Linked DNA regions of Danio rerio. The protein of the gene in region 1 interacts with the protein of each later gene in a biochemical or structural test. Links are inferred from orthologs where the notes say so. Each region holds a gene or a part of one and is shown in the gene's direction. Other genes may lie near its edges.

The links. The genes of interacting proteins can lie anywhere in the genome.
Region 2: the proteins of ptpn11b (region 1) and kita form a complex in vitro, tested with the Homo sapiens proteins (3 studies listed by BioGRID and IntAct, with this or other methods). The link is inferred for Danio rerio from reciprocal best matches to the Homo sapiens genes PTPN11 and KIT.
Region 3: the proteins of ptpn11b (region 1) and cav1 form a complex in vitro, tested with the Homo sapiens proteins (2 studies listed by BioGRID). The link is inferred for Danio rerio from reciprocal best matches to the Homo sapiens genes PTPN11 and CAV1.

What each region holds. Positions count from the first base shown.
Region 1 is NC_133198.1:26,914,050-26,917,616, forward strand, and holds part of ptpn11b (tyrosine-protein phosphatase non-receptor type 11b), read left to right. Parts: coding exon 1-52; intron 53-153; coding exon 154-270; intron 271-3,567. UniProt on the Homo sapiens protein: Acts downstream of various receptor and cytoplasmic protein tyrosine kinases to participate in the signal transduction from the cell surface to the nucleus. Positively regulates MAPK signal transduction pathway. Dephosphorylates GAB1, ARHGAP35 and EGFR.
Region 2 is NC_133195.1:24,925,155-24,929,373, reverse strand, and holds the start of kita (mast/stem cell growth factor receptor kita), read left to right. Parts: upstream 1-1,411; 5' UTR 1,412-1,496; coding exon 1,497-1,551; intron 1,552-4,219. UniProt on the Homo sapiens protein: Tyrosine-protein kinase that acts as a cell-surface receptor for the cytokine KITLG/SCF and plays an essential role in the regulation of cell survival and proliferation, hematopoiesis, stem cell maintenance, gametogenesis, mast cell development, migration and function, and in melanogenesis.
Region 3 is NC_133200.1:19,558,730-19,563,035, forward strand, and holds the start of cav1 (caveolin-1), read left to right. Parts: upstream 1-1,498; 5' UTR 1,499-1,706; coding exon 1,707-1,742; intron 1,743-2,288; exon of another isoform or gene 2,289-2,365; coding exon 2,366-2,533; intron 2,534-4,306. UniProt on the Homo sapiens protein: May act as a scaffolding protein within caveolar membranes. Forms a stable heterooligomeric complex with CAV2 that targets to lipid rafts and drives caveolae formation. Mediates the recruitment of CAVIN proteins (CAVIN1/2/3/4) to the caveolae.

The sequences.
Region 1 (3,567 bases):
TGAAAATGTAGACCGCAAGACTAAAGTCACACATGTCATGATCCGTTATCAGGTAAAAACAGGGTAACATTTCACTATTTCCTTAAGGAAAAAAAAGAAGATTAAAATAAATGTCTATTTAAAAAAAAAAAATTTTTTTATGTCTTTTACCAGGATGGAAAATATGATGTAGGAGGAGGGGAGAGGTTTGACACCTTAGCAGATTTAGTAGAGCATTATAAGAAAAACCCCATGGTCGAGAAGAGTGGAATTGTTGTGCACCTTAAACAGGTGAGTAAATCAAACCAAGCCTGAAAGAAACACATTTTTCCTTCAGACAAGCAATTACAGTAGCTGCAAATGCAAAACAAGTGCCTTTCAAAGATCTGGGTCTGCAATTTATTATTATTTTTTAAAGAACCATTACTTATATTTATGCACTAAATTGACAAAGTGACCAAGAAATGTATAATTTTAAAAAATGTTTCTATATCAATCAATTTTATATTTAGTTTGAAATGAATCATGAAAAAAAGTTCACAAATTCTTCAAGAAAATATTCATTGTTTTCAACTTTGATAATATTAAGAAATGCAGTGGTGGAAAGAGTACTGAAAAAAAATCATACTTAGATAAATTAAAGTAGTGCAAGTAGATGTAGTGCAAGTAGAGATAAAGTATCTGTTGTAAATATTACTCTAAGTATGAGTAAAAAGTAGCCCTTTTAAAAGTACTCGAGTAGTGAGTACCATTTAATTTGTGGATGTGTGTAAACGTAATATTCTGTAGTGCATTTAGTTATTGCCCAGCAGGCACAGAACGTCATAAGACGTTAATATTAGGTTAGATTTAGATTGTGACCTAAATTTAATGGTTAGCCAGCATCTAGGAACGTTATTTTGAAGTCCAAGGATGAATGACGTCAAATGACGTTGATATTTGATTGATTTTAGGGTTTAGGAAGTGAACAAAAACATTGAGCCAACAACTTAAAGGGGTGGTCCACTATGATATCATATTTTAAACTTTAGTTGATGTGTAATGTAGCTGTGTGAATATAAACAACATCTCTGAATGTAAAAAGTTCTCAATTTAATGCAAAGGGAGACCTTGATTTTTACGGAGTTAAGCCTACAATGAACAAATTTTGGGGACTACAAAAAATACTTCCACCCCCTGTGAGATCACAAAGGTTCGTTTACTGTGCATACAAACTGCGCAGGTAAGGCGCAAAAGCAGAAAATCTCCTCAAAGCAGAAGCTGTGAGCTACAACCTGTAAGTGTTTTTATTTGTTAAAATTGATCATGACATGTACAGTGTATAGCGTTAACGGTACGCTGTAGCAACGATGTAAACAATGCGAAATGCTGCTTTGCGGGCAAACGATTTAGCTACAAATTCATATTTATCAGTCAAACTGCTGTAAACACACACACACACTCCACCAGCACGTTCGTGACTCTTATGTGTGTGCGCGACTTTGCATTGATTGTCTTCAGGCAGTTTTTCCATGTTTTTCACATCTCAGATAATGAAGTCGCAAAAGATATGTAGATGATTCATATTACTTACACCTGCATATTCCGGATATATATGAAAGCCGTCTTGTAAAGCATAGAGTTAAAAAAATACAGGTTAGCTTACCTGACTCGTGGTAGCAGCAGAATAATAAATCAAGGCTCACACATCTTGTGCTTTATTCTTCTGTCACGATATATTATAGAAAATAACTTAATCCGAGCATCAGAGAAAAAGAAAAAAAAACTCCCGTGCACATGCGCTTGTTACAGAAAGTTCACACATTCACTCACACTCACACACACATAGACGCAGACAACATTCACTCACACACACACACACACACACATAGACACACACAAAGACAAGGTCTCTTTAAGGAGCTGCACCCAATTTTCACTCGTTACAGACACTTGTCAGATTTTATTTTAGTGAGCAGGCAGGTGGTTGAATGATTGTTTACACAGCAGAAAAGCGCATGCTTTCATGGGCGTGACGTGGAGCCAATCCGCGAATAGCAGCACATTATGACGATGACCAATCAGAGTCACTTAAGGGCAGGCCTTTCAGAGGAACTAGGAAATTTGACAGTCATTTTCATGTTAGCTGAGTAGCTGTGTATAATCAAAGTGAGATATATGAAAAAATAACGCGATTTCCTTCAAGTGAAACATGAGCACACATTGCTTTGCATCTTATAAACACAATTAAGCCTTAAAATTACATTCTGGACCACCCCTTAAAACTAGCTTCATATTGACGTCAAATACTGACATTTATTCATCAGGTATGGCAACCAAATCCAACATCTGATAGACGTCATAGTGGTAACGTCCACACAACGTCAAACTGTAACTGTCAGGGTTCTGCCACTTTGGTCTTGTAAATTCTTGTTTTGGTGGCAGAGCTCTGACACTTCTCATGTCGGGTCCTGTTTCTGTCTCTGTGTGAGCGCGCGCCGTCATGGGTGTACGTAGAGTGTGCGCGTTCCTGCTTGACGCGGCCGCGCGCGCGCTCTGCGTCACTCAGACGCGTGCGCTCTTGTACTCGTGTTTGTGTTTTCGTTTGTCAGCAGCGTGGTGTTTCATTCCCAGCGTCTCAGTCTTGTTGGTTTCGGTTTTGGTCGGCGCTGGGATGAAGCATGCACGCTGCGTGTGTGTGCGCGCACGGTGAGTGCTTTCATTCATCGTGTGCTCGTGTCTTGCGTCTTTTGTCAAAGCACGTGGCTCGGTGTTTACATTGTGGTCACGTGCTTTTGTCGTGTGCTTCAGTGTTGTGTTGTGTGAGCGCATGGCTTGTATTGTCTCTCTGTGTCATGCGCTCTCCCGTCTATTGTCTTGTCCCACCCACCTTGTTACCTTGTTTGTAATTATTATTTTCACCTGTCCGCCTGTCTGTTTATTGGTTTGTCTTTCCTATTTATTCTCCTAGTGTGCTCTGTTCCGTGCTGGTCCGTTATTGATTGTTCCCTTCTCTGTTGTATCTGCTGATTTCTAGTCTACAACAGTGGTTTAATGTATTGTCTTGTCAAGTTCCAGACCTTGTCTAGTTGAGTGTGTAATATGTTGTGTTTTTCCCCACATGGGGAGATTTGAGTTTTGTTTTTGTTTTATTTTTCATTAAACTCTTCATTCCCTGCATTTGGGTCCTCGCCTCCTCTTCATCACCCCCATACCGTGACAGTAACATCATTTGGCGTTGATATTTGGTTGATTTTTGGTTGTATGTTGGACATTGGCATCGGTCTGACTTTGAGTTCTGACGTCAACCCGATTTTCAATTCCAAACAAAATGTAACGTCTCCACGACGTTGGGGTACAACGTCAATCTAATGTCATTTTGACGTCTTGTGCCAGCTGGGTGTTTAAGGCTATTTCGATCATCATACAGTAAACATCTGTCATCTTCTCATCAGTGACATGCATCTAAACAGTCTCTGGGTCAATGCGTGTAAAGATTTTGGACATCTTCTTGGACCCTTTTGATGCTTGCAAACAGTTTGCTGCAATTATAAATCGCCCATGTCTTGAGGTAGTTTGTTATGATGCAATTTACCTTTTATGTGCGAT
Region 2 (4,219 bases), on another chromosome or scaffold:
TGGTGTCACTTGTATATTAATAAGTGAATATTTAACTATTTGCAACACATTTTGCTGAAAAGCATGATGTATACTGTACCACAGAGACACACTGGCGCAGTAATACCGATTTAATGAGGCCATGGGTATATATGTGGAATGATTTACAGCAGCTGGCTTAACTAATTTGTGCTAGTGTGTAGGATATAAATCCATTTTAATGTTTGTACATTTTGTTCTATTGGCACAATCATTGGGCATATTCGAGAACCATTCAAAATCATTTTGTTTCCCTCAAGGTTATATTTGCCTTGTTGAACTTGTTCAGCACTTTTATTTCACATTTGACAGTTCAATATTGAATAAAAAAAAACAAAAAAAAACAATGAATGTGTTTATCTCAGAGTCTGGAATGATGCAAAATCACAAGATGATGTTGAAGAATGGGAAAATAGCAACATGTTATTTTTTTTTTATAATTCAAAATGACTCCTGGCTACTGGCTCATTGAGAAATATGGGTAAATAACAGGGTGAAGTGGAGTTCGGCTGTCACATTTAAGTTATATGTTAGAATGACAAGTATAGTGAAACTCTGTTGTTTGTTATAATAAAAGCATAAAATATCAATCATTCTATTTTTGAAAGCCAATACAAATATTGGATATCAGTGGAGCAGATTAGGAAAGATACAAAGCCTCTCACAGACATTAATGACAAACAAATGCTTAAAACAATACTACCACTATCCACTCATTTATGTTTAATAGTTCTTTGTTCTCAGACAAAATCAAAGTATGATGCAGATGAGGCTAATCTTGCTGGTTCCAAAGCTAATTACCCCACGATGTGCTTGTCAAAATCAGTGATAACTGTGAAATAAATCAAACCAATGTGCATGGTTTATGAAAAGGAAAGTACAGCAGACCTACAACCCCCTGCTAAATCATTCACCTATCACCTCATGCTGTAAACATTATTGCTATCATGAGATAAGGTGATGTGTAATTATCTTTTATACCTCTTTTTGCATCTGGAAATACACAGCCTGTGTTCTTTTCTTTTTTTGTGTGCTAATAACATTCCATGAAGTTCTGTGAAAATCTAAATGTTTTAGTTTGTGTTGCAAATTCGCCATTGACAGATCAGCATTATCACACAAAGAGGAGCCTGTATTGAATCTGCAGTCTAATAAATCAATTAGATCGCCCTACTTATCATTATACAGTTTGTTATGGGCAATTCACAGTTTCTTCTGACAAGCCACGTGTCACCCCGTGGCACTTGTAACCTCTTTTGTGCGTCTCAGGTATGACTAGCATTATTGCTGTTGATGTTGTTACCTCCCTGTCCCCGCCCAGGCTCGCTCGTCGTTCCGCATGACCCGCGCGCAGGCTACAAGGTAGAAAACAAGGCTGGCCCTTTAAGACGGCAGTGATCGCTCCGCAGGCGACCGTTCGGCGTTATTATCGAGCTCCAAGACTATACAACACACATGAGATAGATGGACTTATAACAATGGAATATCACTGCGTTCTGTTTACTGTTTTGTTGCAGTTAATCATCCAACCAGGTAGGGCGGCTGTTATCTTTTTTTTGCTTTTTTTATGGTCTTACTTTGTTCCCCAAGCTTAAAGATAAACTAGAAGTTGTTCAGTGAGGAGTAGGGATGTGCACTTGCTGAGAAGAGAGCCTTGCTGAGTTACTACCGAAGCAAAACGGATTACTTTCTGAGAATAATGTATGGACCTGTTGCTTCTACTCATGATTCATTATTAAAGCAGTTTAATATTAATCTACACACTGTTCTGTCTTTCATTATAATTTAATTGTGTGTCAAGACGGGGCTTTCATGCTGGTCTGTCAGTCCAGAGCTCTCCCATTCTCTGAAAACTAAAATCTAAACAGCTTGTGAGAGTTTCCACTGATCATCCCTGTGAATCATATCCTCTTCACTTACCGTGCAGAGACTCTATATATCAGGAATTTAAGCAGTTACAGGAACCGCTCATTGAAACAAGATATTGATCCGGAGAGCGGCAGGTGAGAATGTAAAGTAAAGCCGATCCGCGCGCTGCTCTCAATTATTCATCACTCAGGCTCGAGCGCGCGCGCGTCTCCGCAACAAGTGGAGGAATATGAAGCCTGTTTCAGCTGGAGAGGGACGTGAAGGAAAGAGTTTAGACGCTAAAACAATTACACAAGTTTATTTTTTAGATAAAATGGCACGGTGAGCGATGAACGCATTGTCGCTTGAAAGCATTGGAAAGCTTTTGAACAAATGTTTTTTTACTAGGCGTTTAGTTATACATGCTGCTACAAATTACATTTTAAAAAGTCGACAAAAGTAGACATTTGCGAACAGAAATCGCGGTCATCTGAGGAGGTAGCCATAGCAACAGTGTCCAGCTTCAGCACTTTAGGTCCAGTAACATTAACTAAACACGTACTGTGTTTAAAACACTTTATTTTGTCAAGAATTAACATAAAGTTTGTTGTGCAATGCCTTTGAAGAACAATTTTGATTGTTCAAAATTAATTTAATTTAATGACATAACACTGAGTGGACATGTTTTAAAACGAAGAACGTTTAAAACATGTAAATAACTTGTTTTTTCCACTATAAAAACATTTTGTGGGAAATAAAGGTTTCATGGCTGTTAAACTTTCTAAGAACGTTGATATCAATAATGTTAAGGAATGGGCAGCATATATGACCAGAAATAAACACGAGTTTTAAAAGATATCTAAAGATAAAATTACACCTTAAGGTTAAAGTTTGTTGGAGTTTTCAAAAATGCCTTAATGTGTTTGCATTTTTGGTTAATTTTATTATTGTTCCTTTAGTCTGGACAAAGGTTGTATGTAAATGATCTGGAATTCCTTGTTTTATCCCAAAAGCCATTGAAGATGTTTTGCATGCTTCACCCTGACTTTTTTTTTTTTTTTTTTTTTTTTTTGCTTTGGCTCGCTGGCACCTCATGGACGTATCAGATGGTCTTTTGTACTGCTCAGATAAGCCCTTATGGATGTTCTAAAAGATGAGGGGCAAGTCTGGACTGCATCTGTTAACTGACCACTGCGTATCATGTGTTCAGACTTTTATCCCAGTGTAACTCGTGCTTTTAAACAAAGATACTTTTTGTCTTAGTTAGTTTTCAACTGCTGTTTTTCATGTGGTGAATTTACGTTTCAAGTAAGAATCTGTTGTGATGCTTTGCTTAAATTTCACGAACGCGCTTTTAGAGAGGCTTACCTGTAGAATCGTGGCAATCAGAGCCGTGGTATGAAGGACTTCATTCAATTCAAATGATCAGGTTTAGAGCGAGCGTGGACAATGCAGAACACATGCACACGCATTTAGTGTGGTTTTGGCATGAATCTGAAAATCAGCTTTGCAACGCCAGAGGGCTTCAGCGCTCAATTGACTACTTTGCATCGGGTTCTTTTAAACCGATAACGCTACGGGCTTTCGGATAACAGCCATGAGAAGTCGTTCACATGGAACAAATGTGCATAATTATTTAATGCCCTGATATAAACCGTTTGAGCATAATAATTATATTCATAACTAAGCCTTTTGGTGTTGCATGTATTAATTGGTTCTGCATGTAGGCTGGTGCCTCTAGTGACTAACGATGGTATCACAAGTCCCTATGAATAAATGAAAGATCTGTTTGCATCTGGGACTAAATGTTACTGATCTTGCAGGCTATCATATTTATCAAGCATCATTAGCTTATAGTGAACACTCAGCTCCTTTACATCACCTCTGTTCAGCAACTCATAATGCTGTCGTAATGGTGTAATTAAGATAAAAAAAAAACTCTCTGCATGGTTTAACCAATGAGGTGACAAGGTGATAATCTGCTTTACTAGTGTTACTCTCAGAGTTGTATTTCTCTCATTCTTATATGTCTATGTGGTGTTGGTGTTTGGAGCTTTGCGGAAGACAAGTAAACATGGAACGGTTGTGCTTAGGTTTTTCTCTGGAAGGACACCTGACTTTGCAGATGCTGTTTTCTTGGCACAGAGTGACAGTTTGCACTGAGGCAAGCAGCTAATCAGGCTAAACCACAGCTTCTATATTTTTATCATGTTATCTCATTTTAACTTGAGGCAACCATGGGGGCCGTAGCGTACCCCCTACCTCCTTTCTCACATTCTCAGAAATCAAGACTGAAATAAGCAGATGCAAAAAGTAATGTTTTATTGAACATTTATTGAAGATACTTCCATTC
Region 3 (4,306 bases), on another chromosome or scaffold:
ATTTTGTATAATAAAATGTTTACTATGAGCTACAAATAGATGAACCTTGCAATTAATGTAAAGTTATATAATATAGAATCAAATCTATCATATAATAAGAGTGCTGCTGGAGTTTTTACCTACAGCAACCTTTGGCCACTATCACTGGCGACGTTGTTTGCATATTTTGCATTGCCTGTCACAACCCTCGCTTTGCCAGCATCTGACCTAGAAATACAAACATTTGTTAGGTGTAATAAATGCCTCCTAAAAAGATGTATAGGTAAGTCAAGCAAATGATACGTAAGTAAGGCAAATATGAGAAAAACAAGAACCTGCAGCTTCAGTGTTGTTCAAAACATTCCAAACTGAAGTGCAAGTCTTGCCTCGAGGAACCTTTTAATATGCAAACAGACCTCAGTGTAGTTACCTTTTAGGTTTATACATCCGAAGTGCAAAAAGTTCAATAGTAAAACATATTTTAATGGATATTCTGAATTGGAAAATCTGACATTGAGTGTCAGTAGTGCTTCATACATTTAAAGGTTTAATTTTAATATGCACCACAATTTTTTGTAACAAAATTAAATAGACTGCTTTGTAAACTACATCTGTCCTTATGTACAGTAACTGCCCACTTGTTGAGGTAAATAACTATATGTTAATGTTTGTATTTCCTTTTGTTTTTAGTTTTTCAGTTATTATTTCAATTTTTGTGTTACATTGTCATGTTCTGTTGAACTTTTTCTTGTTCTGTAGGAACAATACAACATAGAAAACACAATCAACCTATACCTATGTTATGTGAATATGACAGTCAATAAGGGCAAATGAAGCTACCATCAGTCGACTTTTGGCACAGATCAAACTTCAATAGTAGGGTGACTATGTCTGACTAGGTTACTTTGGTTAAAAATAGTTTGATTTGCTTTATATATATATATATATATATATATATATATATATATATATATATATATATATATATATATATATATATATATATATATATATATATATATATATATATATATTGTCTCTAAACAACCTTCAAACATTGTAAAAATGCAGGGTTCCACACAATTCGTTCATGTTGTCCCAACACAAATTGATTAAATTAACTTAACACTTTTAACAGATTTATGTGGATTGAACAAAAAAAAAAAAACGTTGTCCCAATGAAATCTCAAGAATTGTGTTGTTTCCACTCATTTTAAATAAGTAGTTTAAACGAGCAAAAAAAAAAAATGAAGTGTAATGCTTAGGGTTGCTTTATTTTGATTAGCATTACTGTAACACAATTTTAAAACTGCTAATGAAAAAAAGAGTGCATGTTCCTGTTAGCATACATGGCAATCGTGCAGGAAAAGTTGGTCTAATGCCCAGATGTGCCTCCCATTTGGGAAAAAATCACGTCAAAATCCCCAACCACTAATGCTGCGTAGCTGTGTGATTGGCAGGCTAATGGAGGGTTCCTCATTCATTCAACACACAAACTCAGTGACTGGGAGAAACTCCCACTCTGTGCCGTGAGAGTCTTCAAGAGAGATAAACTAGCTTTCAGATAAAAGCTTGATGGGACTTTAGCATGCAGAAGAGAGGGCTGTTTTAAGGGAAAAAAAACTCCCCACAGAAAGCAATATCCCCACGCCTCCCACACTGCTTCCTCTGTACTGATTGTCTTGTTTCCTCACACTCATCTGATCGCACTTCAGGCACGGGACAGCATGACTAGCGGATACAAGGACGGGACACCTGAAGAGGTAAGAAGAACACCCCTATTTTACCTCAGAAATCTTTTACTTTTGATGACAATTAATTTTATACAGAGCAAAATTTAATTTAGTTACTTATTTGCAAACCTTTTGTATGGTTTATCAACAAACGGAGGCAGTGTTGACACTTGCTACATTATTGGCAGATTTGAAGTCTTATCTTTTCCTGGCACGTATTTGTACTGCAAGCCTCCCTTTCGCAACACTTTCACAAACACAGCTGAATAAAATAATACTAGGCTATGAAAATATGAACTGCTCATTAATCCAGGTGAAATAGAAGTACTTTATCAATACACATATTTATAAAGGGAAACTGCGTCTAAACAATTTTGTTACAGTAATATAATTTAAGCACGAACTAAAAACAAGATTTTTCAGCAGTGAGCGCATTTTCATATTTTCTGCTGCGGAATAAAAAGGGAGCACAACAGGCGCATAATGTAAAATGGCGCCTCCGTGTGGCGGGATGCGCCACTGTGTTCCAGAGGGGTGTGGTGCTTCATTTCTATCCGCTTAAAACCATCCCATGCCAGGGCTGTGCTGAGTTGCGCCCGAGTCTCCCACTCCACGCTCATGAACTTCATTTTCTGTTTTCTTTGGAACCGCAGGAATACGCTCACTCGCCGTTTATCAGGAAACAGGGGAACATTTACAAACCAAACAATAAAGAAATGGATAACGACAGCATCAACGAAAAGACACTTCAGGATGTCCACACCAAGGAGATTGACCTGGTCAACCGAGACCCAAAGCATTTAAATGACGATGTGGTGAAGGTAGGACAAACTTTGTCTGGTTCATGCAACTTTTTTAATTGTTGGGTATTCAATTTAAATTTAAAATATAAATAATGAGGACATTTGTTTAACTGCATGGAAACGTTAATAAGAATCTCACAGGTTATTGTTTAGTATATGTGATATTCATAACTGCATACTTGATATTAGCAAATATAATTTGTATGGACAGATAAAAGCAAATCCTTCATTGTTATATTTAATTTATAATTCAGAAAAGTCTTTAAAGTGCATTGCAGTTTATACACACTGCTAAGTAAGACCATTTTATCCCAATAGTTTCCCATTATAACACAATAGAAAGTTGGCTTCATAACAAAAGTGGTGAGTCAGTGGTCAGTTTGTCAAGGTGGCACTGGAAACGATTAATTTTGAATGTAGAAACAATGATGGCTTCAAGTACTTGGGAATTATAATGTACAATTTTACTTGCAAAATTGCTTTACAGCTGGTATTAAAATGCATTTTTGTTACTATTATAAACTATTCAATGATGTTCAAAACTATTTGAGCTTATGCACTTTCAGCCATTAAAATGGGATTGCATTAAAATACATTTTTCATTTAAGTAGATTATTCCTCTCTTTTCACTAATCAAACATTTGATCAATGTACTTTGTAGTGGAAATGCAATTTAAACTTTGCCACCCAAAATAGTAAGTTTGGTTTGAAATGTAAATAAAAAAGCACAATGTACTGAACTGTGAGCACAATGCACAGGTTCATTGGAAATAAAATCTCTCATTGTTTTTAGAGAAGTGCTCACAGCTGATTGCTGGTAGAAGAGCACTGGAATTTTCAGATGCACCAAAACGCTTTAATGGACAAATAAAATTATGCAAAGATCTACAAAAAACATAACAAGATAATTAACTCTTTATTAAATGTTAGAAAAAGGTGTTCATTTAGGTTCAGTGCAGCAAAATGGGTTTATACCGGAAGGTACGATTTGTAGTTTTTACGTAGCCAGAATCACATATTTCCATTGAGCCTGGCTTGCAAATCCACTGAGCTTGGCATAGTTTTGTGGAGCAGAAACGAACGTCTTGTATGTGTCTTCCTCATACTGTATATCAATTGTGCAAGTGTATTTCACAATATTGGTTTGAAAGTTCTGAAGTGCATAAATACACAAGCCTCTCAAAGAAATGTGGCCAAAAGAGACAGATTAGAATGGCTGGTATATATGTGATGAGGTCTGCTTCAATCAAGCAAAACATTATTAAACATAACTTTATCTACTTCAATCAAGCAAAACATAGTATTACCAAGTGTAAACATGGCCTTACAGTAAAACACACTTTCAAGCTTCCTTAGGGGTGATTCATACAGAACACATCGTTGCATCCAAAGATGCTTGCCATGCCTTTCCGTTATTCTGATTGGTCCGCTGCTTTGGAACTGACATTAAAGAATGGTGCAACTTGTAAAAATTGCATTACAGAAACATAATGGTCATGCAAGTCTGTAAAGTCCTTTAACATAAAAAAACAATGTAAAAGTAATGCACTGAGATGGAAAAGCACATTCTGTGTGAATGGCCCCTTAGGTGTTTTGGTTTGTAGACCACATTACTTGACCAACCAGTTCCCAGCCTGAACAGATTCACACAAAAATGAAAATTTGCTCACCATTTACTCACCTTCAAGTGTTTCCACATTTTTAGTTGACTTTTTAGTTGAACACAAAATAAAATACACTCGAAAATGATGTTTGTTGTTTGGACAAACACTTATTTAAAATGAGCTGAGC